Astyanax mexicanus: one gene and its partners. The protein of the gene in region 2 interacts with the protein of the main gene of each other region in a pairwise test. Links are inferred from orthologs where the notes say so. Each region holds a gene or a part of one and is shown on either strand. Other genes may lie near its edges. The genes, in order: bcam, klhl2, txndc12 and tma16.

Region 1 (7,829 bases), on a different chromosome or scaffold from region 2:
CATAGAGTGTTGAGAGCACTCATAGAAGTGGGTGCGATTGTAATAAGTGAGTGGTTGCAGAGAGGATGGATAACGTGGTGAGTGTGAAATATTGAAAGCAAGAGAGAGAGAGAGAGAGAGAGAGAGAGAGAGAGAAAGAGAAAGAGAGAGAAACTCCTAAACAGCAGGAACAGGTGTGGAGAACATGTGTTGGAGGAGAGTTTGAAGGCAAATTGATGGAAAGCAGCAGATACAATAAAAAAGAGCTGATAGGCAGTGACTCGGTTCTGATACATCAGCTCACAGACGCAGCCTTGTGCTGATCCACATCACCCTTTGGAGTGATGAGGGGAAAGAGCGGCATCTACTGTACCCACCCAGAGAGAGCAAGGCCAATTGTGTTTTCTCAAGGCTCCGGCAGCTGATGGCAAGCTGCATGACTGGGATTCGAACCAGTGATCTCCCAATCATAGTGGCAGGGTGTGGACAGTGCCTTCTATGACATCTATCAGGCCTTGTTCAAACTTTATATCTTCGAAACTCGATAACCTACAAAGCATTAGCATTACTTGCTAACTTGGCATCTTTTCAACCTCACAAGATAGCACCTCACAACTTACGAACACCAAGAGTGGATGTTTCCAAGATGGCCCTTGAGAAAACACGTCATAAAGCTATTTCATTCTATTCTTCATTAATTGCACATTGCACCAGTAAGAGCTGTAAGAGTGTGAAGGTTCAATTATCAGGGTAAGAACACAGTTCTGCTCTAAATATTGCAATGCACACAACATTATGGGTGACATACCAGAGTTCAAAAGAGGACAAATTGTTGGTGCACGTCTTGCTGGAGCATCTGTGACCAAGACAGCGAGTCTTTGTGATGCATCAAGAGCCACGGTATCCAGGGTAATGTCAGCATACCACCAAGAAGAACCAACCACATCCAACAGGATTAACTGTGGACGCTGTAAGAGGAAGCTGTCTGAAAGGGATGTTCGGGTGCTAATCCAGATTGTATCCAAAAAAAACATAAAACCACGGCTGATCAAATCACGATAGGATAATAAATGATTGTGGTCTAAAACCAGGTGTTTCAGTTTCACTGTCCAACCCCTGTATATCATGCAGTACTATATATTTAACAGACAGTAAAGCAGAAAAAAAAGAGGCAGAGGCATAAAAAAGAAGCGCAGTGAGAGAGAGGGAAGGAGGAGCAGGGGGTTCGAAGGGGTATGGGGGGGGGGACGCAGAGGGGAGCGGCCAGGGAGCGAAAACCAAAAAAGAAAGAAAAGACAGATTGCACCAAATTTGAGAGAAATAAGGGTCTTCGTTTTATTATAATTCCAGTGATTCTGAAACTGAGTCTAAATCTAGACTGGGAATAATCTGTAATGGTCACAACTGGAACCACTGGCAGGTCTAGGCTTAATCCAAGGCTTAATCCTGATCCAACGCCAGGATTAATATCAATAACCCTCATCTAACAGCTGCGCTGCTCCAGCTGTTCCTGAGCCCAGTCTGTCCAGGTGCTGCTGATCAGACTGAAGTGTTTGTTTAAAAATGACTGTGTTCTTTAGCACTGCTCAAGTCTGAGTGTCATAAACTGTCTCTCTCTCTCTTTCTGTCTCTCTCTCTTTCTATCTTTCTCTCTCTCTCTCTCCCTCTCTCTATTTCTCTCTCTCTCTCTCTCTCTCTCTCTCTCTCTCTCTCTGATCGGTCCATCAGGCAGTAGAACACCATCAGCAAAACAACACCAACAATAATTCACCAAATTATCTTTCTTTCTATTTTTCTTCATACATCTTCCTCTCTCTCTCTCTTTCTCTTTCTTTACACTCCTTTTTACTCTATTTCGCTACCCCTCTTTCACTTCACACTCTTTTTTTCTCCCCTCTCTCTTTTTTGTTATTTCTCTGCATGTCTTTCTTTCTTCAATCGCTACACCCCTCTTTTCCATACCACTCTACCACTATCTCATTCTCTACACCTCTCTCTCTTCCTCTCTTTTCCCACTCTCATTCTCTACACCTCTTTCTTTCACTGCACCTCTGTTTTTACACCACTCTTTATCTCACTCTCTACACCCCTTTCTCTCTCTCTCTCTCTTGTTTCCTCTCTTCATTCTTTCCCTAATATCATTCTCTACACATCTCTACTCACATTTTCTATACCACTCTTTATCTCATTCTTTACAACTCTTTCTTTCTTTTTCTCTATTTTCTCTTACCCCTCTCTCATTCCTTATATCTCTTTTTCTCTACACCTTTTTGAATCTCTTTCTCTACACCCGCCTCTCTTTTTACACCACTCTTTATATCATTCTCTACACCCCTTTCTCCCTCTATTCTCCTCTTCTCTCTTTCTCTACAGTTCTTTTTTTCTCTCTGTTTCTTTTATCTTTGCACACCTGACTTTTCTGTCTGTCTTTTTCTGCTTTTCCTCGACGTCTCGCTAATTTTCCATCACTTTCTTCTCTTCCTCTGTCCCTTTGTTCACACTTTCTTTCACTTCTCGTTTTTCTTTTTACTGTTTTATATATCTCTCTTCTCGGTGTGGCTCTTGTCCCTCGAGCTTCTCTGAACCTCAAAGAGACGGGCCGCTACAACACACACACACACACACACACAAACACACGCTCGCGCACTGTGCAGTGCAGTGCATGCGCGCACACGCACGCGCTGAACGGAGCCTCCGCGTCTTTGCAGGACAGGGTAAAACGCCACAACACAACCCTCCTGGCATTTAACCCTCCTTAGAATCCTAATCTGGACTAAACCGAATTAAACTCCGCAAGTTTGGGTTGTTCATATTGTTTTAAATCCGTTTTGTGGAAAAAATCCTTCGCCTCGAGCCATTTAAAGCGCGCGCCTGTCTATACAAGCCGTGCGCGCTTCTGTAAGGAACAGGTTGTGGCGCCAAACCAACCAAAATATCCAAAATACCAAACAATCACAGAAAAACACGCTGACTCGATACATTCCCTGTCAGAAACCGGATAAAAGCTTAAAAACTAAGTGTGTGAAGCTCAGAGCGCACGCAGGAGACCGGGGACAGTCTCTTAAAAGAATAAAAAGCCCAGAGAAAGTCCTGCTCTTACCTTCCAGTGACAAAACCAGCACCACCAGCACCACCAGCGCGCTCCTCAGAGTCTCTCCCGCCATCGCTGCTCCTCTACAAACTTCTCCGGCTCTCCTGCTGCTCCGCTGCGGCTCTTCAGTCCGTCTCGCCTCGGTGAGAAGACTCCTCTCAGCCTCACACACCAACACACACACTCCGCACTGCGCGCGCACACACACCCACCAGCGCTGTTTTCTCACCCCCCTCCCTCCCTCCTGTCTGTCTCTCTCTCTACCACTCTCTTTTACTCACTCACCCAATCACTCTCTTTCTACTACCTCTACTGCTCTTTACCTCTCCCTCTCTCTCTCTCTACCACTCTCTCGCTCACTATTTCTACCTCTACTGCTCTTTACCTCTCTCTCTTTCTCTCTCTCTTTCTCTCTCTCTCTCTACCACTCTCTCACTCACTATTTCTACCTCTTTACCTCTCTCTCTCTCTCTCTTTCTACTACCTCTACTGCTCTTTACCTCTCTCTCTTTCTCTCTCTCTCTCTCTCTCTCTCTCTCTCTCTCTCTCTCTCTCTCTCTCTCTCTCTCTCTACCACTCTCTCGCTAACTATTTCTACCTCTACTGCTCTTTACCTCTCTCTCTTTCTCTCTCTCTCTCTCTACCACTCTCTCACTCACTATTTCTACCTCTTTACCTCTCTCTCTCTCTTTCTACCTCTACTGCTCTTTACCTCTCTCTCTTTCTCTCTCTCTCTCTCTCTCTCTCTACCACTCTCTCAGTATTGCCAAAGCATTAATTAATTAAATTATTAATTGAAGAAAATAAAGAATAATAATTGATCAGTTATAACATACATAAACAATTCACATATACATAAATAATTTGATACATTTAAATTAGACATTAATTATCATTGTAATTGATATTTGATATCATTGTATTGATATATATATATATATATATATATATATATATATATATATATATATATACATAGTAAATTACAGTTTTGCCCGAGCATTAATTAACTCTCTCACTCTCATAAACGTTCTATTTTGAGGGCACATCATATTTACACAGTTATAAAACCAGTCAATACAATACAATCTCTTTTTACCTCTAAATTCACTTAAGCTCTATCCGGACAAGATTAATTTCTCAGGGGGTCGTCTGTGAAAAATATTTCACACTTTTACTCAATTGCAATTGAAAAACAGGAGGACCAATGAGTTTTTTTGGCTTTCTCGGTCACATGACATCACGTTCAGTAGCTCCTCCATTTCCACTCGCTGTTGTGTTTACAGTATTAAAACAGTAGACAATTTAGTCTGTAATTTTTTTTATCTCAGAGGACGTCTGAGAAAAACACATATATGGTCGTTCTGGACGGGAATAAAATCACAGAGGACCCTCCAAAAAAAGAGAAAATTACCCCAGAACCCCCTGAGAAACTAATCCCATCCTGATAGGGCTTTACTCTACCTCTATCCTTCTAATGCTTTCTCATTCTCCATCACTTTCTCGCTCTCTGTCTACCTCTACCACTCTCTACCTGTTTCTTAACCACTCTCTCACTCTCTTTCCACCTCTATATTCACTTTTTGGCATTCTTTTCCTCTCACGACTTTTTTTTTCTCTTTCTACCTCCATCACTCTCTTTCTCTACCTCTAGCTAGCTCCAGTCTCTCACTCTCTCTACCACTACATTTATTAGCATGATAATTATTCACATTTGTAATCCCAAAGCTGTATTTAACACTTTTACAAGATAATAGGACAGAAGAAATATAACGAGTAATAGACTGTATGCTGTAAACTGTGTTTAGAGATGGTCCCTCACTTACTTTCTTCCTACACCTCTCTCTCTCTCTCTCTCTTTCTCTCTCTCTCTTTTGGAAATCTGATGAGGGCGGCAGTGGCTTTGGTTGATATATTTACACAAAAGGTGACCCTCCCCCCGGAGCTACGCTACAGTGGTGGAGCAGCATAAACACTCTCTCTAACTATATGAATACACTGTGTATACAGAGCTGAGAAAAAAATTTCTCACCCTGATTTATTCACAGTTTCAGATCTTTAAACCAATTAAACACAACATTTTAGTATGAGTTATTAGACTTATTCACTTATTCGAACAAACACCGAAAATATTTTTTATTTCATTTTTAGCTTGATAATAAATAAAAAGATAATCGAAAAGGTTATGATGGAACTGGCCCTCATCAGGATCACCCAGGGAAAGGAAGAGCAAGAGTTTCTCGGTTGTATAGGATAAGTTCTTCAGAGTTACCGGCCTTTTTTGGTTTGTTTAACACTTTTAATTTACTACATACTTCCTTATGTGGTCCTTTATAGTCTGATAGATCACGCCACTATTTATTTACTATGTAGGAGAAAATTGACAGGTACTGTAAATAAAGTATTAAATAAAGGCACCAAACAGAAAAAGACATCAATATTTAATTGATTAGTAGATCCTGCTTTTGCAGAAATAACAGCATCTAAACTCTTCCTACAGCTTCCAATGAGACTCTGGCTTCTGGTTGAAGGTATTTTGGACCATTCTTCTTTGTAAAACATCTCCAGTTCAGTCAGGTTTGATTCAGGTTTCTGATCATGAACAGCAGCCCGCATTAAATCACACCACAGATTATATTTCAATAATATTCAGGTCTGGGGACTGAGATGATCTGAGATGATCATTCCAGAACGTTGTACTTATTCGTCTGCATGAATACTTTAGTGCTTTAGTAGATGTTGAGCAGTGTTTAGGGTTTAGTGTTTAGGGTCGTTGTCTTGTTGAAAGATCCAGCCCCGGCGCTTTAACTTCAACTTTCTCACTGATTCTTCAACTTTGTTCTCAAGAATCTGCTGATATTGACTGGAATCCATGCAACCCTCAACTTTAACAAGATTCTCAGTACTTGCACTGGTCCCACAGCCTCACAGCATGATGGAATCACCACCAAATTTTACTGTGGGGAGCAGTAAAGTGTTTATCTTGGAACGCTGCGTTCTTTTTCTGCCATGCATAAATAACTGCCCTCCAAATAAACCAAGTTTCAACAGCACCTTATTCCAAAATGAAGCTGGCTTGTTCAAATGTGCTTAAGCATACCTGAAGCGACTCTGTTTGTGGCGTGTGCTCAGAAAAGGCTTCTTCTGCATTACTCTACCATAGAGCCTCTCATTGTGCAAAGAGCATCTGCAGCAAGATGTTGCAAGATGTTTTTATTTGCTTCTACTTGAGTAAGCATTATTTATAAATAAAAGTACTTTTACACCAGTTCTGTTTCTGTCCACTCTACCCACCTCTAAATAATGTTATTACATAACACATAATAAATTCCACTGCCCTTGCAATAATGAAAATGCTCTTTTGCATTATTCAGTTACTTCAAGTAATGACTGCACACTTCCTGTAAGTTATGTGCAGTTGCAGCCTTTGTTGTGAGGTGAGGTTTCTCAGATCCTACAGGGTTCTGGAAATGCTTATCTATTTATCACAGGGCTTTTTTTTGGTTTTCCTCTTCCGTTGGTAAAGTTTCAGACACGCCTCAAGTATAGACTTCTTCCTGTGTAAGATTAAAGAAAAACAATATCTGTATGAGACAATGGCCCTGTCTCAAAACCTGGTGTATTGAAAATAATAATTACAAAACTGATACAAGGATAAGGATAATAAAGTGTGCAGTGATCCTATATGGAAATATATGGATAATGGGTATAGAAACTTATAGATAATCATAATATCATGCTTGATTTGCTGTGTATGCAGTTATGCTAATTTTTATCCCATTTTCTCCCAATTTACACAGCCAATTACCCAAACCCCTATAGGACTCCCTAGTTATTGCCCCAACACACCAGCAGGGTGAAACCCATGTGAAGTCAACCACCGCCTACATGAACAGGATTCGAACCAGCGATCTCCTGATCATAGTGGCATCACCTTGGTGGTCTACTTGACCACTTGGAGTCTCTCCTCTACTGTAACTTAATGCAAATATAAACTATAGCATAATAAAATACAGAAACGGCATTTTACTGTTACATCTGCTTTGTTTCTGGTCCTTTAGTCTGTGCTGAAAACTCAATGAAGGCAGTCTGAGACACTTGAGTCTGAGACTTGGACTGGTAGAACAGGGGCAGTTTTAACAGGAAGTCTTATAAAGTCTTATAAAGACAGGTGGAAGCTGGTGATTGGTTGAGATTGTGACAAGTGACGAGCACTGCAGTTTCCTGCTAGAACTAGCAGTAGGTGAGTCGGTGAATCTGACTCCTCATCTGGTCAATTTTACAGACTCTATTTGCAAATTTGACAATATGGCCGACAGTTATGGCTTTATTTTGTATTTTCGTGTAGGAATGTGATGGAATGGAACCATAGTATTTGTGCTTTTCTATAATTCTATAATTGATTTACAGTAGCAGGAAATTTAACTACTGAAAAAAATTAAGAGTAAAATTTACTTAGAATTTACTTAAAATCTAAGTAAATTTTACTCGTAATTTTTTTCAGTGTAGTTAAATTTCCTGCAACTTTCTACATTTGCTTTTTTAAGTAAGTTTAATTTCAGATAAATTTAAGTAGCTTCAGCTCGGTTTCAAGACTTGAGTAAATATAGAGTAAATAAGTGAACTGAACTTCAGTCAATCCTTTCTTTTATTAAACTTTACTTCATTTATTTTTACTGAATCAATCCTTTCTTTTAGTATCATTTATTTAATTTCTGCATACAATATCACCTCACTACAATTACTTAATTTATACAAT
Region 2 (7,588 bases):
CCTAGCTCTATCCGTGTGGGTGTGTGTGATTATGTAAACCACAGTCGACGGCTTTTATACTGTTAATATTGGCATCAGAATTATACCATATCGACTGTAATTAAGAAATATATATTGTGATGTATAATAGTTTTTAGCTATATCACACAGCCCTGTTCTGAGAGCATCTGAGGATCAGCAGTCTGACAGACGCTGTGTGTTTATATATGTGTTTATATATGGTGACACAGACATCTGGTCTGATCTGCTGCCCTGAGAGCACCGACATGACGAACACTGAACATCTGTCAGGATGACACAACCAGCAAGCCCAGCAGCACAGGCCAGTCAGCTAGATAAACACATCTGTCTTAGTCTTAGTGAGGTCTTCCTACTGACCTCAGTTCAGTAACTACCACATCTGTGTTCTAGACCCATTACTTTAAGCCCATGACCACCTGAAACCCACCTGAAACCCACCTAGCTAGCCAATGTCCTATCTTTGGTAGCACAGGGATGTTTTGGCTGTGATGTCCAATACGAAAGATGGGACCTAGTAGGGATGGTCACAGAACTTAGAGCCTATAACCACCTGGAACCCACCTAAGTCATGTTCTAGCCATGTGGCCGGGATTTCCAATGATACGATAGGACCTAGTAATGGGTGTTTAAGTACTTAGAGCCTACATCCACCTGGAACCCACCCAAACCCATGATCTAACCCACATGAGACTATTGGCTTCAATGTCTAAAACTAAGATGGGACCTAAGTCAGTCCCAGTGCTTGGAACCCATAACCACCTGGAACCCACCAGGAACCCACCTAGTTCATGTTCTAGCTATGTGACTCCCTTATGAGCCTGTTGGCTGGGATGTCCAATACTAAAATGTGAGCCATGTGAGATTAGGCCAACTTGGTTCTAGTCCCAGTACTTGGAGCCCATAACCACCTGGAAACTACCTAGCCCATGTTCTAGCTATGCGACTCCCTTATGAGCCTGTTGGCTGAGATGCTCAATAATAATTTGGAACCCATGTGAGATTAAGGTGGTCAGTGGTATTGATTAAGCACATTTGAAAAGCACGATTGGTGGAATTTCCAACACTAATATGGGACCTATGTGCGATTAAGGGGTGCTGTAGTTATGATAGTGCCACTCCTAGACCCAGTACTTGAGCCTATGCCCACCTGGAACCCATCTAAAACCCACCTAGCTAGCCCATGTTCTACCCTTGGAAGCATAAGAGCCTGTTGGCTGGATTGTCCAATACTAAAATAGGACTTGGGGATGGTGGTTTCAGTAATTAGAGCCTATAACCACCTGGAACACACCCAGCCCATGTTCTAGCTTTGTGACGACCATATGACTATTGGCTGGAATGTGCAAAACTAAGATGGGATCTATGTTAGTCCCAGTTCTTAGAGCTTATAACCACCTGGAACCCACATGTGTCTGTTGGTTACTATGTCAAATCCTATAATAGAACCCTTGTCAGTCCCAGTACTTAGAGCCTATACGCACCTGGGTGTGGAACCCACTTATACCATGTTCCAGACAATGTGACACCCATATGGTCTGTGGTGTTGATGTGGCCATTTGGAAAGCCCACCTGGTTCCAGTCCATGTATCTAAAACTCACGCCCACCTGGATCTACCTGGAACCCACATAGTCAATGTTGCAGCATGTGTCACCCACACAAGCCTGTTGGCTGGGATCACCAAAACTAAGATGGGACCCATGTCAGAATAAGGTGAACTGTAGTAATGATGGTCCCAGCCCCAAGTCTTAGAGCCCATACCCACCTGGATGTACCTGGAACCCATCTGAAACACACCTAGCCCATGTTCTAGCTATGTGACACCCACATGAACAGGTTTGTTGGGATGCTCAATACTAAGATGAGACCTAGTAATGATGGTCCCAGTCTTTAGAGCCTATTACCACTTGGAACCCAACTGGAACCCATCTAGCCCATGTTCTAGCCATGTGACACCCACATGAGCCTGATGGCTGGGGTGTCTAATACTTAAGTATGTCAGATTAAGGTGGACTGTAGTAATGATGGTCCCAATCCCAGGTCTTAGAGCCTATACCTACCTGGAACCTACCTAGAATCCAAATAGCCAAAGTTCTAGCATGTGACACCCACGTGAACATGTTGACCATGACAACCAGCAGACAGTCAGACACAGACAGACAGTGTGTGTGTGTATATATGTGTGTGTGTGTGTGTCTTTACATGTGAGTTACATATATATACACATATACATATACACACTATTATATATTAATATAAATAATGTGTGTGTGTACAAATGTGTGTTAGTATATATGTGTAAAGTAGGTCTTACAGGGGCTGTAGCTCCATATATATGTGTGTGTATATATGTATAGGAGCTCTTACAGGGGCTGTATCTCCACGTATATGTGTGTATTTATATGTGTGTATACATGTATATATGTGTGTATATGGGAACTCTTACAGGAGCTGTATCTCCATGTATATGTGTGTATTTATACGTGTGTAAATATGTATAGGAGCTCTTACAGGGGCTATATCTCCATGTATGTGTTTGTGTGTGTGTGTATATATATATATATATATATATATATATATATATATATATATATATATATATATATATATGTGTGTGTGTGTATATATGTGTGTATATGGTAGCTCTTACAGGAGCTGTATCTCCATGTACATGTTTGTGTGTGTATATATATATATATATATATATATATATATATATATATATATATATGTGTGTGTGTGTGTATATGGGAGCTCTTACAGGGGCTGTATCTCCATGGCGGTGGGGGTGTTGGGGCAGGCCGCGGCTCCGGACACCATCAGCTCCGCTCCATCCTCAGCTCCGCTCGGTTCAGTCCGCAGCGGCTCCCCGGGAGAGGCGCCGCTAGTGCAGCCGGACAGCAGCAGCCATGTCCCCGCAGAGCCCGCGGTAAACTCCCGGCCCCCCGCTCTCACTCACCCAGCCTCTCACTCACTCACTGAGTCCTGTATTCACCTCTATAAACCCCCTCAGAGCAGCTCAGGGGGAGAAAACACGGAACCTCCAGCACACACTCTCACACACACTAATTTACATACACACACTCATATACACACACACACACACACACACACACACACACACACACACTGCTTTTACCCACCAGCAGACCCGCACCACAGCTCCCCCACAGTCAGGGAGGACCTTCAGCATAAAAAAAAACATACATATATATATATATATATATATATATCAAAAATATATGGCCCATTCCACCAAATTAAATTTCCAAATTAAAGTTAATTTTTTTAAAAATCTTTTTTTCAACTCTGGATCTATGGAACACATATATTTAACATATATTCAGAACATGTACTGGTCAAATTTAGGCAGCTTTACTTAATTTCCTTTTTTTTTTTTTTTTAACAAAGTTTTTAAGTCGAATATGGTTACAAATCTCGTGTGTCACATTTATACAATTTATTATCATGTAAAAATTAATTAAACAAATTGTGTCCCCTATAAGAAATGACCGATCGCATGGCATTCTTTTGTTTTAATTTTATCTTATTTGATATTTTCTGTGCCATTTTCTGTGTCTTTTTAATGTACTGTGTCTTGTAAGCTAACTTATTAGCATCAGCATATTAGTCGTTATAACATTTCAATTAGTTTATCCACTATTTGGATTTTGGAAGACACGATTTGTAGCAGCAATATAGTGACATATTTCACATTATTTCATATTATTTGTATTTTTTATTCTTATCGTATTTAGTTAATTTGCTATTTCCCGTGCAATATTCTGTGTCTTTTTAATTTTTTTTTTGTGTCGTGTGTTATTCCACCTCCACTTCACCTTACCTATAACTTGGCTACCTAACGTAGCTGGCTAAGCTAACATATTAGCATTAGCGTTAAGTCATTATAACGTTTCCATTAGTTTATCCACTACGAGATTTGGATACACTGTAAGGAACAACAATGTAAAGATTCACATTACGTCAGTAAGTGAAAAACTTTGTTTAATAAAATGTTTTTATTCTGTATATTTTGATATCACAAATATACAGCTGTGGTAGAAATGAAGAGAGCACTTCAGTTTCTGAATCAGTTTCTCTGATTTTTAGAGGTTTATGTTTGAGTTAATTGAACATTGTTATTTTATTCTATAAACTATGGATAACATTTCTACCAAATTCTACCAAATGAGAAATGGCTGAAATAACAAAAAAGATTCAGATCTTTCAGACCTTAAATAATGCAAAGAAAAAAGTTCATATTCATAAAGTTTTAAGAGTTCATAAATCAATATTTGGTGGAATAACCCTGTTTTTTATGCACAGTTTTCATGCATCTTGGCATCATGTTCTCCTCCACCAGTCTTACACACTGCTTTTGGATGGATTTGTGCCTTTACTCCTGGTGCAAAAATTCAAGCAGTTTGGTTTGATGAATAGCTTTTGATCCTCCATCTTCCTCTTGATTATATTCCAGAAGTTTTCAATTTGGTAAAAACAAAGAAACTCATAATTATTAAGTGGTCTTTTTTTTCTCCAGAGCTGTTTTTTCGTACAGTGGAACAGATGTTTTTTTTTTTTTTATCTAAACATTATTTGGTTTATTCGGTTTTAATACACGTAAAAAAAAAAGAAAAATACATTTTTCTGTAAGTTGTAGAAACACTGACCTCTAGTGGTCGTCTGTGGTGTTGCTGCATCTGCAGCATATTTGAATCCATATTGAAGTTCTTATTTTATTTTTTAATTCTGCAGTGTAGATTCATACTTAAGTCATAAAAACTATTAAGAAAAATATATGGAATTATTTAATAAACAAAAAAGTGTTAAACAAACGAAAATATGTTTTATATTTCACATTCTTCAAAGTAGCAAAGTAGAGTTGGTGGTATACAGTAAATAGCCATATTTGAGTAATGTTCTAATCTATATTATTACCACAGTTAGTTCCGACCCTACAATCTGATTGGCTGAGAGGCGTTCTATGAGTGCCATTATCAGCTGGTAATGCACTGTAACCGAAGCTGTCTATGTTTTACTCCGCCACATACCGGTAACCTAGCAACGATGCAGCGCTTACAAGCCAAACAGCGCAGCTACAAACAGAGCAGCAATGGAACTATTTTAACTCGTTGAGTTTTTATAACCAAACAGATCATATTTTCTCCTCCTTTTTAAGAATGATGAGCATTATCGTTTGTGTCACGTGTTTGTGTAAATTCCACTGGTAAAATATTTCTGTATTTTTTGATATTGCAATACATATATATTGTTGTGTTGTGTTTTTGTGGGTAAATTCTTAATGGAGTAAACTCTTTTTTTTTTTTTTACACAGTGACGCCTAGTAAAATTTCTGCATTTTTTTTTTGTATATCGCAATATATATCCAATAAAGGACAATAATTGCAATGTAATTGTTACCCTGCAATGTGATTAATTAGATAGATAGATAGATAGATAGATAGATAGATAGATAGATAGATAGATAGATAGATAGATACTTTATTATTAATCCCATAGAAAATTTAAGGAAATTTATGAGTGTCGTTATCAGCAATAAACAGTGATAATGGAACTGTGGTATAATCGCAATAATACACTTGATGTTCGTGCTATAATGTGTAATATTGTCACTGCTGTGCCATTTCTGCTCTGTTTGTAGCTGCGCTGTTTGGCGTGTAACCCCTGCATCGTTGCTAGGTTACCTGTATGCAGAGGAGTAATGCGTGGAGTGCTTCAGTTACAGTGCTTTACTGGCTGACAACGGCACTCGTAGAACACCTCTCAGCCAATTACATTGCAGGGTAACAATTACATTGCGATATTGTGGAAACATGGAGAGCTTCACTTACAGTGCATTACCGGCTGATAATGGCGCTTAATTATTCCAATGTTACACGTTAAGACACTTCCTCTCGTGTATAATCAATTATGGCCAAGCGTAGTCAACTAAGTAAAGAAAAAATGACTTTAAGAAATGAAGGTCAGTCAATCTGAAATAAATAAATAAATAAATAACTTTGAAAAGTATTCTCAAGAGCAGTCACTGCAAAGACCATCAAAAAACATTGAATGCTGAAACTGGCACTCATCAGTTTGTTTGTGAAAAAAATATATATATATATTTTTTGTGTTTTTGTGTAAATTCCACTCTTTTATACACAGTAAAACCTGGTAAAATCACTATATTTTTCTATATTGCAAAATATACCTAATAAAGGACAATTACTGCAAAGTAACTGTTTCCCTCGATATATCGTGTGTAATCTGAAAATAAAAACATGAATAATTAAATATTCAAAAACTTTGAAAAGTATCCTCAAGTGCAGTCACTGCCTAGATCATCAAAAAAACGTTGAATGGTGAAACTGGCACTCAACAGGACAACCCTGTAAAAAAAAACAGTGGAAAAAAAAGTAGTGATTTTCTCAAATTTTGTGTTGTGTTGCGTTGTTTTGTGTGAACTCCACTCTTTTATATAAAATTAAAACCTGGTAAAATCTCTATTTTTTTTAAAACTGTATAAAAATCACTAAAAAAAAATAAAAATAACTTTTTTTATTTTTTTTATTTTGTGTTGTGTTTTTGTGTTAACTCCACTCTTTTACCATATTCAAAAACTTTAAAAAGTATCCTTAAGTGCAGTCACCCCAAAGACCATCAAAAACGTTGAATGGTGAAACTGGCACTCATCAGGATCCATCCCAGCAATTTTGTTTTCAGCAGGAAAAAAAAGTGAAAAACTGTGAAAAACAAAATTTGAAAAAAAAAATATATATATATTTTGTGTTGAGTTTTTGTGTAAATTCCACTCTTTTACACAGTAAAACCTGGTAAAATCTCTGTATTTTCTGAAAACTGTATAAAAAAAATTGTGTTGTGTGTTTTTGTGTAAACTCCACTCTCTTACCATAGGCAGCCAAGGGCAGTCACCGCAAAAGACCATCAAAAGTGTGGGATGATGTGGGCACTCATCAGGACCACCCCAGGAATTTTGTTTGAAATAGAAAAATAAAGCTTTGTTGTGTGTTTTTGTGTAAATGTCACGTTTTTATATACAGTAAAAACTGGTAAAATCTCTGTATTTTTTAAGAACGGTATATAAAGAAATGCTGTGTGTTTCTTTTACACACTCTTTATACACTCTTTTACCAAATTCAAGAACTTCAAGTGCAGTCACCCCAAAGACCATCTAAAACGTTGAATGGTGAAACTGGCACTCATCAGGACCACCCCTAGGAAGTTTGTTTGAAGCAGAACAAATCAAAAACAAGGCGAGACAAGGGATTCGTTCCGTTGCTACAGTATTTATTCTTGGTCAGTCATTCAAACTCACAGCAGCTGAATGTTACTTTCAAACAGTATATATTTCTCTCTCTCTCTCTCTTTCTGAAATCTTAAACAAAATAGAACCCATATGTACACGTATTCAAAAATACAAAAATGCGTGATACAGACTTCGCCAGGTGTCTTTTTAAAAGACATAGAAACATACACGGGGTACGAACAGAGGGGTTTGGGACACGTCCTAACATATCATACACTTCATACATTTCTTTTTATATATTT
Region 3 (8,049 bases), on a different chromosome or scaffold from region 2:
CTCAGGGTGGACTTTACCGCTGGGATCTACAAGAGAATAAATGATCATTACTTCACCACTCATAACTCCAGCCTTCACCCTGCAATAGTGCAAGATATTGTCCTAAATTACATTATAGTGTAGCAGCCTGTCTCAATTTACTTAAGCCCACAGTCAAACCAGTGAAATAAGAAGTGGTTAGTGACCTTTTTATTGAAGAACCCTCAATTTGTTAATGCAGTTAATTTTATTTATTTTTTAGACCTTTACACATTTTCATCTTTATGGACTGGAATGTAATTACAAACAATAAGCTCCAAATAAATAAACTGATTAAAATTCAGTCATATAAAAATAGCTAAACTTTTTTCAGAATAACAAACTGTACATGACAGTCCATAGTTCAAATGATTAAAATTATAAATAAACAAAAAATATTTTAACTTTAATTACTGAAAATCTAGATTTAGAACCATTTCTTGTTGCCAAATAAACATAATATGAAATCAAGGGTATTTAAAAAGAAAGTTTATTTGGAGTAATTGTCTACTGTTCAGGGAAGCATTTACTGATGCTCTTATCCAGAGTGACTTACAAGGTTATTCCTATTACAAAGGTGGGCCAATGTAGTGTTAGGAGTCTTGCCCATGGATTCTTATTGGTCTAGCACAGCATAGTCACCCAGACCAGGAATTGAACCCGTCTCCCACATGTAAACTAGTGTTTTACCTAGAAACAGTATCCTGGGAATGTAACCTCCATCTGGGCTGAAAGCATCATCTTTGGGCTCCTCTTCATCCTTTAGATAAAAAAGTACAGATCCATATAAAACTAGCAGTCTACTACTTCACTTTTGTGATACATTTGCACTGTCCATGTTTTCTACATTCATTAAAAGAGGTGAACAGTGCCTTAAGCTCTTACCTCCAGGTTAACCATGACAAAGTTGTGAGCCAGTTCTGAGATTTCCTTAGATTCAGCAAACTTGGGTTTCAGCGCTTAAAGACAAAGTTAAAATTACATTATTAACTTTTCAGCTAAATCACATCAAAATCATTACATGCTTTGTGTTTTTCAGACCAGTAATGATGTTACAACAGCAGGTTCCAACATTCTGTTAAACATTCAACTCAGGAACAGCATGTTAATTTGTCTAAACAGATGTATTGGAAGCAGGGTAAACAATAAAATGAGCAGGGTCAGGGCTGAGAAACACTGCTCAACAAAATCTGTTCGTGAGTAACACCACATGGATTAAATATTGACCTACCTTTACAAGCACCGCACCAGGTCTTGTGGATGATGACCATAACAGGCAAGCCACTGTGAAGAGATGAAATGATAAAAATCCAGTTAGTTTAAGTCTTCTCATTTATAACAACAATAATAAAAATCGATAACATAATCTCAGGAAGAATCTAGTTGCAGTCTTGCAAATAGTGACCCTAAAAGATCCCCAGTCTTTGCAAAATCTTAGTCTATGACTAAAAAGTCTGTGATTTGTCTTTAGATGTTTTAGTCTATTAAAAGTATTTCAGAGTTTTTTGTAGTCATCTAGTGTATGGATAGCATTAGTCAACTACTAAAATAGTCATAAGATGCAGACCTACTTTCCACCACTGTATTTAACACAATACATACACATCACTATGGAGCAGCATGGACCCATCTGAAGTCTACTTGAATAAGCAGCTATAAGGAAGTAAATAAGTAGCTTGTTACCTAACCTAGCTATGATTAAACTACAATTTCACATGATCCTACCTTGCCTCAGCCTCTTTCTTTCCATCCTCCAGACCTCTCCAGTGGATGTGGTCTCCAAATCCTAAAGAAAATGACGAGTTAAAGTGCAGAAAGATTAAAAATCAGGAACAGTCTGAAGCAGAAACAAAGACCTACCTTAGCCACTTAGCTAACCTAGGTTAGCTTAGCTAGTTAGCTAGGTACCTGAGCTAAGACCTCAATGAGAAGTTAACTAGCCAGTTAGCTAAGTTAGAACCACTAGAATAGCTACACAAATTAAAATAAACACGTGGTGTATACTTATAGCTATAGCTCTATTTAAAATCAGTTAACTAAGTTAATCTAGCGAGCTTATTAAATAGGTTTAATAATAAAGTTAGCTTAGCTAGCTAGCTACCTTAGCAAAAGCCTCAATGAGAAGCTAGCTGGCTAGCTAAGTTATTTAACTTAAACTACCATAGCTACACAAATTAAAATGAACATGTGGTGTGTGCTTATAGCCATTAATCTATTTAACAACAGCTAACCAACCTAGCTTGTTTATTAAATATGTTTAATCATACAGTTAAGCTAGCTAGCTTAGCTTAGCTAAACCTGATAAGATAAACTAACGTTACCATAGCTAACTACACACATTAAAATTAGCCCGTGGTGTATAACTTACTTATATATAGCTCTCTATTTAAAAACAGCTAGATTAACCTAGCTAGCTAAGTTATTTAAATAAGTTTAATAATAAGCATAGCTAGCGTTGGTTAGCTAGCTAGGTTAGCTCTCTTTTTACTCGCTGTTTCCCAACGCTAAAAAACCTTTTCGCCCAACAGCGTATAAAACTTAAAAAAAGCCGTTTTAATGGTTACTTAGCTCATTTACGCTACGATATGTTAATTGATGTTCAAATACATCTTGCACTAAAACTGAAATCGCTGTACATACAGTTTCAATTCATGGTAACGAATCCGGGTCCGTAAATTAAAAAAAGACGCTCCAGGATTTTATTCCAACTGCACAGGCGGTTCAACTGCAGCAGAACCGTCTATGCAGTTGGAATAAAATCCCGGAGCGTATTTTTTAAATTTCACGGACCTGGATTCTCTACCGCTGCCTCAAACTGACGGTTAGCCAACAGGCTAAAGCCAAACAGCCGTATTTAACTACGTGTTTTCCCCGCAGACTTAGCCTTACCTTTCCCGCTCCCGTCAGCAGAAACTCCTTTAAAATGCGTGGCGATGAAAAATGGTAGAAACGAGAGCAAAGCGACGCTGAGAACAGAGGACTGCATGGTTTCACTCAGGCCTTAACGCAGACAGAGAGAGAGAGGGAGCCACTGCGGCGGATCCAGCAGCTGCCTGAGGGGGACGGAGTCCAGGAGTTCATGGGTTCATGAGGAACATCTGCGCATTCCCACCAAACTCCCACAACCGCCAACAAACTCCCACAACCCCCAACAAACTCCCACATTCTCCTAAACGTCTACTGACAGGTCTGTACCTCTTTTATTTTTTATTTCTAATCAGATACAATAGCTAACTATATGACCAAATGGTCATTGACAACCCTGAAACAACATGGAATTATAATTATATTATATTTACTCCCGTTTTTTCCAGACACTAAAATATCCAAATCACAATCAGTCATTAGCAACCGTTTATATCAATCAATTAAGAAATTGAAAAGATATGCAGCAAGGTGACATCATGCTAAAAAAATAATATTTTGTATAATTTGAGTCAAAGTAAATTAATTTAGGCATTTATTTTTTTCTGTTTTTATAAAAATATCAAGATATTTACATATATATATATACTGTGTTAGTATTTAATAATTACTTTTACTTCCTACCTGCACTGATTTCACTTCAGTAATAGCAGTGCAGATTGTCAGCAGAAAAGGGAAGTTAGACTAGTTGGTCAAACTAAAACTGAAATGAAATCATTATTTGTAGATGTTAAACATAAAACATTTAACTAACATATATAAATAACCAAAGATAAATAACCAAAGACTGAACAAAACTGATGAAAAAAAAAAAAATAACGCTCTAATCATTTGGCTTTTTGTTTTTGCTAGTACTGAGAAATTACTAGTTGTGTACATGAAAGATGCTGTCAGAGGCTACAAATTTGGGTAAATACTAAAACTAAAATAAAAAATAAAGCTAAAATATATATATATTTTTTATATAAAAAGTTTTTTAAATAAACCTAATAAATGTAATTTACTTTTCAAAGATGGACTGAAATTAAATTCTCTAAAAAGGAAGATATCACTGTTCCAGGACCGTCAGTCGCTCTCCAGGGTGCTGAACTCACATCCTCTGTCTCTCTCTCTCTCTCTCTCTCTCTCTCTCTCTCTCTCTCTCTCTCTCTCTCTCTCTCTCTCTCTCTCTCCTCTCTTTATCTCTCTCTTATTTCTCTCTCATTTCTCTCCTCTATCTTATGCACACCCAAAAAAATGATCAATATCACTGGTAGATATATGCATCTTGTTTCAGGATTGAACTGAAACAGTATTAAAACTGTAATCATCACTAATCTCAATTATGTAATTTTGCATTGAGCAGGTTTTATTGTTTCGAAGACAAAACACTTGGTAAACTCTCAGCACTTGGTATTAAAGCAGTACAGCAGTCCATTTTAAACATTTCTAAACTTTAAACAGTTGTATTTAACAATACATTATATAGAATGTTAAATAATTTATAAATAAATATGATAAATAAATAAGAGTTTTAAATACTATCACTACCAGTACTGCATATCATAAAGCCTAAAACAATGAGGCTAACTTGTGCTTGTCAAAATGACAAAAACATATTTTTTTTTTTGTTTGCCTGAATATCACATATCAATTATAACTTTGTGATTATTAATTGGCTCCTGCGTCCAAAGTCAGGATATGGTTCACCACTCGGTTGATGGTGATAACACGAATATGGAAGGCCTTCAAAACTTTGCAGAGCTTCAGTCTTCCCTTGAAGGATTTTTCATGTTCCATGGAAACCTGTGAGCAACAGCAGAACATCTGTGATGAATGACTGAAACTAAAGAATATAAATCGTTCATTTGGTAATGTTTGAATAAACAAGTCTCAAATTATTCTTACCAGTGTTTGAGAGCTGTCCAGTTGTGTGGCAGAGAAGCAGTTCTGTTTGTACAAAACAAAGAATGAAGATTAGTATATTTAGTGTTACTGCTAGCTTTATTGGAGTAAACTCCTAAAAATATGCTACAAATGGTTCTTTAAACCAGAGTTCCTTAAGGAAGAATACCTATTTCTGATCCTGGAGTGACTGACTTGAAGTTATTGCTTTTGGACTGGTCTAGTCTACTGGTCTCTGGTCTAGTCTACTGACTCTGTGTTAATTATGATTTATTATACCACAGTTAGTTCCGACCCTGCAATGTGATTGGCTGAGAGGTGTTCTAATAGTGCCGCTATCAACCGGTAATGCACTGTGACTGAAGCGCTCCATATATTACTCCCCCAAATACAGGTAACCAAGCAATGATGCAGCGCTTACAAGCCAAACAGCACAGCTACAAACAGAGCAGCAATGGAACTATTTTAACTGGCGGAGTGTTTATAACCAAACAGATCCTATTTCCTCCTCTTTAAATCTTTAAAATCTTTCAATAAACAGTGATAATGGAGCTGTGGTATAATCACAATAATACACTCAAGGTTTGTGCTATAACATGTATTAATATGTAACAGTACTACACATTATAGCACGAACCTCGAGTGTATTAATGCTTATTTAACCTACTCTACACTGCATATTTTATTGGACCATTCAGATTTTGTGGTAGCATGATGGTTGCAAAATGTGTGCTAGAAGACGTATATAAGTATATAAGCTCATACAAAAGCTAAAAGTGCACCTACTGTTTGTGGTATGCTAGATAATAAAATAACCAATCAGTGCAAACTGTCCAATCCTTACCTGCATGAGGTCATCAATGCTGCTAAGCACCGTCTGTTTGAGGACATATCCTTGATCGCTGTAGGCTTTAAACGTTGCTCGGAACTGCTTGAGATCTTCCAGAACACTGTGGAGGCATGCATCCTACAGCAGATAAACAGGGTGTCAAGGCATGATGGCAAAAGCAATGTCAAGAAAACCTGTAATTTATTTATTTATATCAGACTTAAACAGTGTACCTGATTGAAAGTGTAGTCTTGGCCCTCTGAGCATTTTGAATGCTGTTGAATAGAGAATGGAAGGTATTTTGTTTTTGTTTAGTTTCTTGAGTGTACTTCATCTAGTATATTCATCTACACTTAATTTAAATTGATTACGTTAAATAATATCATATTTTTGCATAAGTGACTTAACAATTAACAATTCACAAGACATGAGTGGTCTTTGTAGCATTCAGCCAACAGTCACGCTAAACAGCTTTTGAGTTCTAACATGCTATTATAGGTGTGAAAAACTAGGCCAGGCAAGTGCAATATAATATAAATTAAAAAACTTTATAAGGGAGGATGAGTCTGTGGGGAAAGACTACACACTGATAGCTGTATTTTAATTATAAATGTTGCACTGCCCAAATATAAGGCAGAAAACTACCAATCCCCTCTTGGAACCCCATTATCTATCCATATCTTTGTATATATTCAGTTCTTAAACCACCCTGACTTAATTTAGTACAGAACCTCTCTACTCCTCTCACCTGTGGAATGCACACTGCTACCGTCTGGGTCCTGTTATGCAGCTCGGCACTCTGGTCTGTGCAGTTCAGTCCCCTGAACAGTTGGTCCTACGCAGAGACAACAGTAGAGCATTTAATTTATTGGTTTTCCATCATTCAATCAAACAATTTTTATAATAGGTTTAGATAGATTTAAGGAGTTTAAATTGAGCCTCATGTACGTCTGCCAGTGTTTCTGTCACGTTCCAAAGCAGAGAGCGTGCAAGACCCTTGCAAGTGTTTCTATCAAGCTGGAGTGGTGATGCTTGTGATCCCACAGGATTTGGAGCTCCCAGCCTCCATATTGAGGAAGACAGGAGCAGAAGGAAGGAGTCTGCAAATAAACCACAAAAAAAAATTATTCTAACAAAACTCTTTTCTGAACCAACCTTCATCTGATTTACTGTAGCCCATCAGAATCCTCTTTGAACCTGGCAGTAGTCTGACTTACAGTAAATCTGTCAAAACTCAACTGCAGGGCCACAAAATTCCCTCTAAGGCTGCCAAAAGCTTGACTTGTAATAACTCTGCCATAACTCGACTGTAGTTCTCCTTGCTTGTAGTTTGACATACAGTAAATCTGTCCCAGCGTGACTTTAGCACAGGAGCATCCTCTCTAAACCTGACAGTGGTCTGGCTTAATTTTGTCCCAAACCAACAGTAGCCCAGTTTCAGCAGGAATATACACCACTGAACTGATTAATTCTGACCTAATTTAGTTGTTATCCAATGATAATCCAGAATAAATGGTCCTACTCTGACTTTGGGCAAATCTAGATTCTTGTCTACACTACTGTCGGTTGATTGAGTAGCCCATTAAAAGTCTGCTTCAATCCGACAGTGACTAGACAAAATTCTCTCCTACTCAATTGGTAATCTATGAAACTCAAAACTATGAAACTCAACAGTAGAATGTTATTTGATTCAAAATTAAGCCAATTAAGTCAATATCAAGAACTCTGAGTTAAAATAGTTCCATTGCTGCTCCGTTTGTAGCTGCGCTATTTGACTTGAAAGCGCTGCATGGTTGCTAGGTTATCTGTATGTGGTGGAGTAATACATGTAGAGCATTGGTTACAGTGCATTACCGGCTGATGATGGCTCTCACAGAGCGCATATCAACCTCAATCACATTGCTGGGTCGGAACTAACCTTTCAGTATTATTCAGTATTGTAAAAACAACACAATTGCCACATTAAAAATGTGTTAATGTAAGAAATCTAACAAGCCAGACAAAGATGTTTTAGAAGTGATGCTCAGACCCTCAGATCCTCAGACCAGAAAATACTGCCCAAAACTCAGGCAAGAAGGCAAGAAGCTGCAAAAATGGCCTAGCCAATCAGATGCAAAGATAATGAACAATAGAGAAAAGTGTAAGTTTACTACTTACAGTGGTACACAGTGGTCAGCATGGCTACAAAGAGAGCAATGTTCCAGTTTCTTCATGCCACAATTCGTCCTCTTCGGTATATATATACACTTCAGCTCCTTACAACAGGGGACTTCCCCACCCAACAGCAGCCCGTCATTACAGACGAAACCAGAGTAAACAAAGGGTTATTGTTGTAATTTCCAAAGAATTATCAAAGGTGAAGCAGCAGCCTGAATCAGAGTTGTGCAGCACTG
Region 4 (7,535 bases), about 340 kb from region 2:
TTTGGTTTATTTCCTTCAGAATTGTAATTAATTTAGTCTGAATCAAAATTGACACATCAAAATTCAAAAAGGTTGAGTTTCACAATAAAGTCAATAATTGTACTATGTGTTCAATCATATTTATTAGCTTGAATGAACAGCTCCATGCTTCACTTTTTACAGTGTAGTTAGAGGTGTTAGGAGAGTAAGTGCTCTTTGAAGAGCTCTGTCTTCAGGAGTTTATTAAAGATAGCGAGAGATTCTCCTGATCTGGTAGTAGAAGGTAGTTAGTTAGAGGTGTTAGGAGAGTAAGTGCTCTTTGAAGAGCTCTGTCTTCAGGAGTTTATTAAAGATAGTGAGAGATTCTCCTGATCTGGTAGTGGAAGATAGTTTGTTCCACCATTGGGGAACTCTGTATGAGAACAGTCTGGTTTGCTTTGTGTGAATGTTTGTTTGGTAAAGCGAGGCGACGTTCATTGGAGGAGCGCAGCGGCCGGGAGGTAGCGTAAGCCTTCAGGAGTGATCAGTGCAGGTAGGAAGGAGCCTGTTCTGTCATCACCTTGTAGGCGATTGTAAGGGCTTCTCAAGATATTAAGGGGATTGTTGGACTTCCCAAATTATCGCAACCAAAGTACTGTATTTTTGCACTTAAAATACTTCAATTTTCCCAAAAATTGTCAGTGCACCTTATGTATAAATTTTACCAGTCAGGTATTAAGGAGCAGTAAAGCCACTCTGTTGAAGTACTGAGTTATACAGGAGTTTCAGTTAAGTTCTCCAGTAGTTTATTAGCATTAGCTGCTAAACGCTAGCCATTTGGCAATTCAGAGGGGAGTATTATTAGCCTGTAGTCTGCTGCTAACCCCGACTAGCTAGCACTGCTGTTGCAACATTAGCAATACCCACTAACTGTGTTAGCCATTTGGCTGTTCAGAGGTAAGTATATCTCACACTGTAGTCTGCGTTTTTACTGTTACCCTGTCTTACCAAAACACTCAGGGTTCCTCGGTGTATCGCTGTCGAATAGCAGTTTGGTGGCATTAGCAGTTAGCTTACCTCTCAATCATTTCACAAGCTTCCTGTTTGGAGTATTCTAGCTTCCCTGAGTCCAGCTGATTCTGGAACCACAAAAGTTTCTCCCCTGAAAAAAAGAACAGAGACAAGATCCTTAACACACTGTGCTCTCTTCTCTCACCTAAACAGTCCATTCAGTCCTCTATTTTTTCTCTTCACTTTAATGTTAAGCTAAGCTAAAGGCTAAAGCTGTTGCCATGTGGGTCAGCCAGACGTGACTCTTCCTGAAGTGTCAGTTTTCTCCAGTTTATAAGAGTCTTTTGAAAGTGTAGGAAACAGTACTCATTCCTCTCTGGCTTCACCTCTAAACTCTCGAAAACACTGAAACTTTTAATAGTTAGAATAATAATAGAATAATACAATAGTAAGAGAGTTCTCTGTGTTTCTTTTCCTGTCTTTCTGTCTTTTTCTAGTTATTATGATGGAAGTGGATAGTGGATAGTGCGAAAAATACGGTAGGTAAATAGAGGAATTACTCACCTATTAAATTTAAACGTCTGGCTTTATCACTTTTCACTCTGCAAAAAAAAAAAAAAAAAAAAAAAAAACAATCAACATATTATTCAAATACTTTTCAAAACAACATTATTATAGATTTCACTCACTGTTCAGCCAAAGTCAGTGCAGTGTTTTTCCCGATAATCTTACAGCACTTCATGCTTCCCTCTGCTGACAACTTTTTTTGGAGATGTGGATTTCATTTTCCAGCAGAACTTGGAACACTGTCCACACTGCCAAAAGTACCATCATTTTTTTTCAGGATGACCTGCTGGTCTTGAGCTGGATTTTTTAAGCAGTGTTATTAAAATGTGCTCCCACTCTAAGCAGGACTATGGAGGTCCATGCCCTGCTCTATAGTTAGAATAATAACATTATCTAAATTAGTGAGGGTAGAAAAAAAAAAAAGAACACAGAGGTCTTACTTCTCTTTGCGGGTGAGTTTGGCCTCAGCTCTGGCCATGTAGGCCGCTTTCCTGCTGTAGGGGTGGACCACCTTCTTCTCCTGCGCGCCCCCCCTCGCCCTCCCTGCTTTAGGCTGAACGCAGAGAGAGAGAGAACACAGCACAGGGGGGTTACACAGCAACAGAGATGGATAGAGCGAGAGAACACATCACATCACAGGGGGGTTATACAGCAGCACAGGTAGATAGAGAGAGAGAACAGCAGAGAGGGGTCATACAGCAGCACAGGTAGATAGAGACAGAGAGAACACAGCACAGAGGGGTTATACAGCAGCAGAGATAAATAGAGAACACAGCACAGGAGGGTTTACAGCTGCAAAGATAGAGAACACAGCATGAGGGTTATACGGCAGCAGAGAGAGAGAACACAGCACAGGGGGTTTATACAGCAACCGAGATGGATAGAGACAGAGAGAACACAGCACATCACAGGGGGTTAAGTTATACAGCAGCAGTGAAAGAGAACACGGCACAGAGGGGTTATACTGCAGCAGAGAGAGAGAGAACACAGCAGCACAGGTAGATAGAGAGAACATAGCAGAGAGGGGTTATACAGCAGCACACGTAGATAGAGAGAGAGAGAGAACACAGCACAGAGGGGTTATACATCAGCACAGGTAGATAGAGAGATAGAGAACACAGCACAGGGGTTATTTTGCAGCAGAGAGAGCGAACACAGCACAGGGGGGTTATACAGCAGCAGAGTGAGAGAACACAGCACAGGGAGTTAGCGTTATAGAGCAGAAAGAACACAGCACAGTGGGGTTATACAGCAGAGAGAGCGAGGACACAGCACAGGGGGTTATACAGCAGCAGAGAGAGAGAACACAGCACAGAGGGGTTATATAGCAGCAGAGAGAGAGAGAGAGAGAGAGAGAGAGAGAGAGAGAGAGAGAGAGAGAGAGAGAGAGAGAACAGAACAGGGGGGTTAACGATATACAGCAGAAGGAGAGAGAACACAGCACAGGGGGTTAAGTTATACAGCAGCACAGGTAGATAGAGAGAGAGAAGACAGCACAGGGGAGGTATACAGCAGAAGAGATAGAAAAAACAGCACAGGGGGGTTAACGTTATACAGCAGAAAGAGAGAGAACACAGCACAGGGGGGTTATACAGCAGCACCAACCTTACAGCAGTGTGTGTTTGTGTGTAAGTGAGTAAATATGTAATGTATACTGACCATATTTCTGCTGCTGCTGGTCGGCGGCGCTGCGCTCCTGGACAAACACGTGTTGAACAGAAACGCGCTTCGGTCCGCCTGTATTTTTGTTCCCCCGCTCACAAACTCAACTATAACCCCACAAACATGGTTCCGCTTCCCGATAGTGAACACTAAACAGATCCTTAGCGCTGAGAGAGGAGCGTTTATATTAACATTGTAATAAATAAATGTATAAATAAATACATATACAAATAAGTAAATGTATAAATAAATACATACACAAATAAGTAAATGTATAAATAAACAGATTAAAAAATAAATTAATAAAATAATTAATAATTAAATGCATGTATATATGAATTAATACATGAATAAGTAAATTAAAAATCGAATTAATCAAAGAGTAAATAACTCGCGGACTATCGGTTATCAGTCATTATTCTGTGAGAGAAAAGGTAGAGGGAGCCCACGAGAGCGAACGGCTAAAAACTCAAATAAACATATTAATAAAGTACTTCTACGATATTCCTTTAATTTTATAAAGTATAATAAAATATTTTACTTAAAGAATAAATTCTATAAATTCTATCCTGCATATTTAATTTTTTTTAGGCAGTAAAGGCGCTGCATTACCGAGATTGATTAAAAACATATTCTGATTTGTAAAACTCTTTTTTTTTTACATAATAATTATGCAAATGTTCCTGTAAAATGTTAATGATTTAAATATATTAAATCAATATATATAAAATTTGCATTGTAAAATTGATTTTGAAATTATAATAAGAAAGAAAACACTGAATGAGAAGAGGTGTTTCAAAACTTTTGACAGGACTATATAAAATCATGTGTGCACAGTGTTTTTATTTTCTCTTTTAAATAATAAAAAATATTCTTCATGTTATTATTATTTTTATTTAATGTTTGCTAGATTTGTACAGATAAATATTCAGACACAATTTTAACAATGTTTGGTAATGACATATGTGACTGTAAGACTAATACGGTCTAATTACTTCAGTAATTGGCCTCCATAATGTTATTTATAGAAATATTATAAAACAGAAACGTTTCAGGATCATGGAGTCAAAGGCACAGCAACTTTCGTACAGTATAAATAGCCTTTTATTGATACACACTGGTACAGTATATGAGTAACTATAGATGAAAAAATGCATTAAATAACCAGATAGCAAAAAAACAAGCAATGACAGATTTCAGATTTTTTTCTATTTTTAAACTTAAGAAACTCTTACATTTAAAAATAGGCTAAAATCTAGACAAACAGGAAATGTTCAATTTGTATTCTGGAAAATATTGATTTGAAAATAAAGTTAAGGAAAGCACCATTTATATAATTTAAATTTATTCTATTTTTACCGTTGCAGATTTACTTATAAATATTTTAAATATTTTCTATTAAAATTACAATAAACATTTAATAATTAAAATGAAGAATAGAGAGACTCATGTAGCTGATGATGACGACAGGATGTAGTAAAGTTCTTTATTCCGTCACTAAACTGCAGTGTGAAACCGAAACTAACCGGATCAAATATACAGAATACTATGAAGCCAATAAATAAATAAAGTAATTAAATTAAGTAAACTGCTATCTCATTATTTTTTAGATAGTTTCTCATTTTTTGAGATACTAAATCATTATTTTGATATACTATCTCATTTTTATGAGATAGTAAGTCACTATTTTGAGGAACCATCTCATTATTTTGAGATACTATCTCATAATTTTGTGATAGTAATTCATTATTTTGAAAGATTTTTTTTTTCAAAAGCAAACACACTTGCTATCTCAAAATAACGACTTATTATGTCTAAATAATGAAATAGTATCAAAATAATGACTAAGTATCTTAAAATAATGACTAAATATCTCAAAATAATGATTTGCTATCTCAAAACAATGACTTAGTATCTCAAAAAATGACTTATCTCAAAAAATGACTTATCTCAAAATAATTACTTGATATCTCAAAATAATGACTTGCTATCTTAAAACAATGACATAGTATCTCAAAATATTGAGATAGTATCCCAAAATAATGACTTGTTTTCTCTAAATAATGACTTGCTATCTCAAAATAATGAGATTGCAGTTTACTTAATAATAAGCAGCTAGAACTCCAGTACTGTGAGTGTATGGAGCAGCTATGGGATAAAACAGCATTAGGTCAAAAGTTTGGACACCCCGGCCCCCCAGTACTGTGTGTAATGGAGCCACTGGTCAAAAGTTTGGACACCCCAGAGCTCCAGTACTGTGTATAATGGAGCCACTGGTCAAAAGTTTGGACACCCCAGAGCTCCAGTACTGTGTGTAATGGAGCCACTGGCCAAATGTTTGGACACCCCGGCCCCCCAGTACTGTGTGTAATAGAGCTACTGGTCAACATTTTGGGGACCCCGGCCAGCACTGCAATCACACTCGCAGTTTCTGTAGGAACTGCAATCTAGTTCAGCCTTTAATTTTCTCAGAGGACGTCTGAGAAAAACACATGCATGAGCACAATCCGAACAGGATTAGTTTCTCAGGGGGTCCTGGGGTAATTTTCTCTTTTATCTTTTATTCCTCTGTGATTTTGTTCCTGTTGGGAACCACCATGTACGTGTTTTTCTTAGACGAAAATTATAGTCCTTGGGTAATTTTAGTCCCATCCGGACGCACATCTCTGAGTTTCGTCTGCTCACGTTTAATAAAATAGTCCACTGCCACGCACCGTAATTACACTTTGGGTGCGCATTTCCACGGAGATCCATGTAAAACACAACAGTGCGTGGAAATGGAGAACACGATGTCACTGTTCCTCCTGTTTTTTCAATAGGAGTCCGGATGCAAGAGTTTTATTACTGAGTAGAAGTGCCCCTAAAAAAACGAATCCCGTCCGGACAGGGCTTAAGATGCTTCGAGAGAAACTAGGCCTTGGTTATTAAAGCTTTTTATTTAGTACCGGAGTACAGCAGAGACGTCAGACTCCTGTTCGATCCTGTCCATCTTTGCTCCCTTTATGAAGGCGCAGATGTTTCTTAAGTGAACCATTCTCTCTAAATGTCTTCCCACAGTCTGAACACTGAAACGGTTTCTCCCCAGAGTGAATACGCTGGTGCACGTTCAGATTTCCTTTGTTAGCGAAAGTCTTCTCACAGACTGGACAGGAATACGGTTTCTCCCCCGTGTGAACGCGCTGGTGTACCGTGAGATGACTCTGTACAGTAAAACTCTTCCCACATTCTGGGCAACAGTACGGTTTCTCTCCAGTGTGAATGCGCTGATGAGCGAGAAGATTGCGTCGGTCAGTAAAACTCTTCCCACACTCTAAACACTGGTGTGGCTTCTCACCGGTGTGAAGACGCTGGTGTTTCTGAAGGCCGCACTTCACAGCAAAGCTTTTCCCGCACTCTGAACAGAGATATGGTTTCTCTCCAGTGTGAATGCGCTGGTGGTTTTGGAAATGGGATTGTTGTTGAAAACTTTTCCCACATTCCGAGCAGTAATACGGTTTCTCCCCGGTGTGAACGCGCTGGTGTATTTGGAAGTGGCCTTGTTGACTGAAACTCTTCCCACAAATTGAGCAATTATATGGTTTCTGTCCAGTGTGAATGCGCTGGTGAACTTGGAGACAGCGCCTGTCCATAAAACTCCTCCCACACTCTGAGCACTGGTGAAGTGGTTCACCTCCAGTGTGAACACGCAGGTGGACCTGGAGCCGACTCTGCTGAGAAAAGCTCCTCCCACATACGAAACAGGAATACGGTTTCTCCCCAGTGTGAACGCGTTGGTGTAGCTGGAGGTGACTCTGTTGAGTAAACCTCTTCCCGCACTCTGAACACTGATACGGTTTCTCTCCAGTGTGAATGCGCTGGTGTCTCTTAAGGTTAGTCTGCACAGAAAAACTGCTTCCACACTCAGAGCACTGATACAGCTTTGTTCTAGAGTGAATAAGCTGGTGTATCTGAAGATCATTACTGTCAGAAAAAAAATTACTGTTTCCACACTCAGCGCTGTAGTGAATTCTATCTTCGCCTGACATTTCCTGCATTACTCTGGGAGATGTGTTGATGTGGGAAGAATCAAATGAAGTTTGCAGAGTATCAGAGCTTTCAGATTCCATATTCTCACATTAATTCTAATTAATTTGAAGAGTTTGAAGCTGATCGTTCCTGCAGAGGAAAAATACATAAAAAATCGGATTTAGTATTATTAAAAAAATACTACAAACATGCTACAGCATTTTTTTGCAGCGAGCGCAAATGTCTTCTCTACAGATATTTTGGGCTAGTTTAAGCTTCTGAAGGACGGGGTTTAGACTGACTTTGGGCTGGATATACTGTTAGACCTGGCA

Evidence for each region.
Region 1: the proteins of klhl2 (region 2) and bcam interact in binary tests that used the Homo sapiens proteins (3 or more experiments, as listed by UniProt). The two-hybrid records come from large-scale screens. The link is inferred for Astyanax mexicanus from reciprocal best matches to the Homo sapiens genes KLHL2 and BCAM.
Region 3: the proteins of klhl2 (region 2) and txndc12 interact in binary tests that used the Homo sapiens proteins (3 or more experiments, as listed by UniProt). The two-hybrid records come from large-scale screens. The link is inferred for Astyanax mexicanus from reciprocal best matches to the Homo sapiens genes KLHL2 and TXNDC12.
Region 4: the proteins of klhl2 (region 2) and tma16 interact in binary tests that used the Homo sapiens proteins (3 or more experiments, as listed by UniProt). The two-hybrid records come from large-scale screens. The link is inferred for Astyanax mexicanus from reciprocal best matches to the Homo sapiens genes KLHL2 and TMA16.

What each region holds. Positions count from the first base shown.
Region 1 is NC_064413.1:3,418,623-3,426,451, forward strand, and holds the start of bcam (basal cell adhesion molecule), read right to left. Parts: upstream 3,280-7,829; 5' UTR 3,144-3,279; coding exon 3,080-3,143; intron 1-3,079. UniProt on the Homo sapiens protein: Transmembrane glycoprotein that functions as both a receptor and an adhesion molecule playing a crucial role in cell adhesion, motility, migration and invasion.
Region 2 is NC_064432.1:10,036,924-10,044,511, reverse strand, and holds the start of klhl2 (kelch-like protein 2), read right to left. Parts: upstream 3,129-7,588; 5' UTR 2,840-3,128; coding exon 2,781-2,839; intron 2,410-2,780; exon of another isoform or gene 2,387-2,409; intron 1-2,386. UniProt on the Homo sapiens protein: Substrate-specific adapter of a BCR (BTB-CUL3-RBX1) E3 ubiquitin ligase complex that mediates the ubiquitination of target proteins, such as NPTXR, WNK1, WNK3 and WNK4, leading most often to their proteasomal degradation.
Region 3 is NC_064415.1:56,283,611-56,291,659, forward strand, and holds the start of txndc12 (thioredoxin domain-containing protein 12), read right to left. Parts: upstream 3,047-8,049; 5' UTR 3,005-3,046; coding exon 2,908-3,004; intron 1,805-2,907; coding exon 1,744-1,804; intron 1,303-1,743; coding exon 1,250-1,302; intron 978-1,249; coding exon 904-977; intron 779-903; coding exon 709-778; intron 27-708; coding exon 1-26. Other genes in the region: zmp:0000001127 (interleukin-12 subunit alpha), read right to left, coding at 4,594-4,728, 4,831-4,872, 5,672-5,794, 6,405-6,491, 6,605-6,817. UniProt on the Homo sapiens protein: Protein-disulfide reductase of the endoplasmic reticulum that promotes disulfide bond formation in client proteins through its thiol-disulfide oxidase activity.
Region 4 is NC_064432.1:9,699,779-9,707,313, reverse strand, and holds the start of tma16 (translation machinery-associated protein 16), read right to left. Parts: upstream 3,317-7,535; 5' UTR 3,199-3,316; coding exon 3,196-3,198; intron 2,090-3,195; coding exon 1,977-2,089; intron 1,572-1,976; coding exon 1,534-1,571; intron 1,121-1,533; coding exon 1,036-1,120; intron 1-1,035. Other genes in the region: zinc finger protein 239, read right to left, coding at 6,162-7,304. UniProt on the Homo sapiens protein: Involved in the biogenesis of the 60S ribosomal subunit in the nucleus.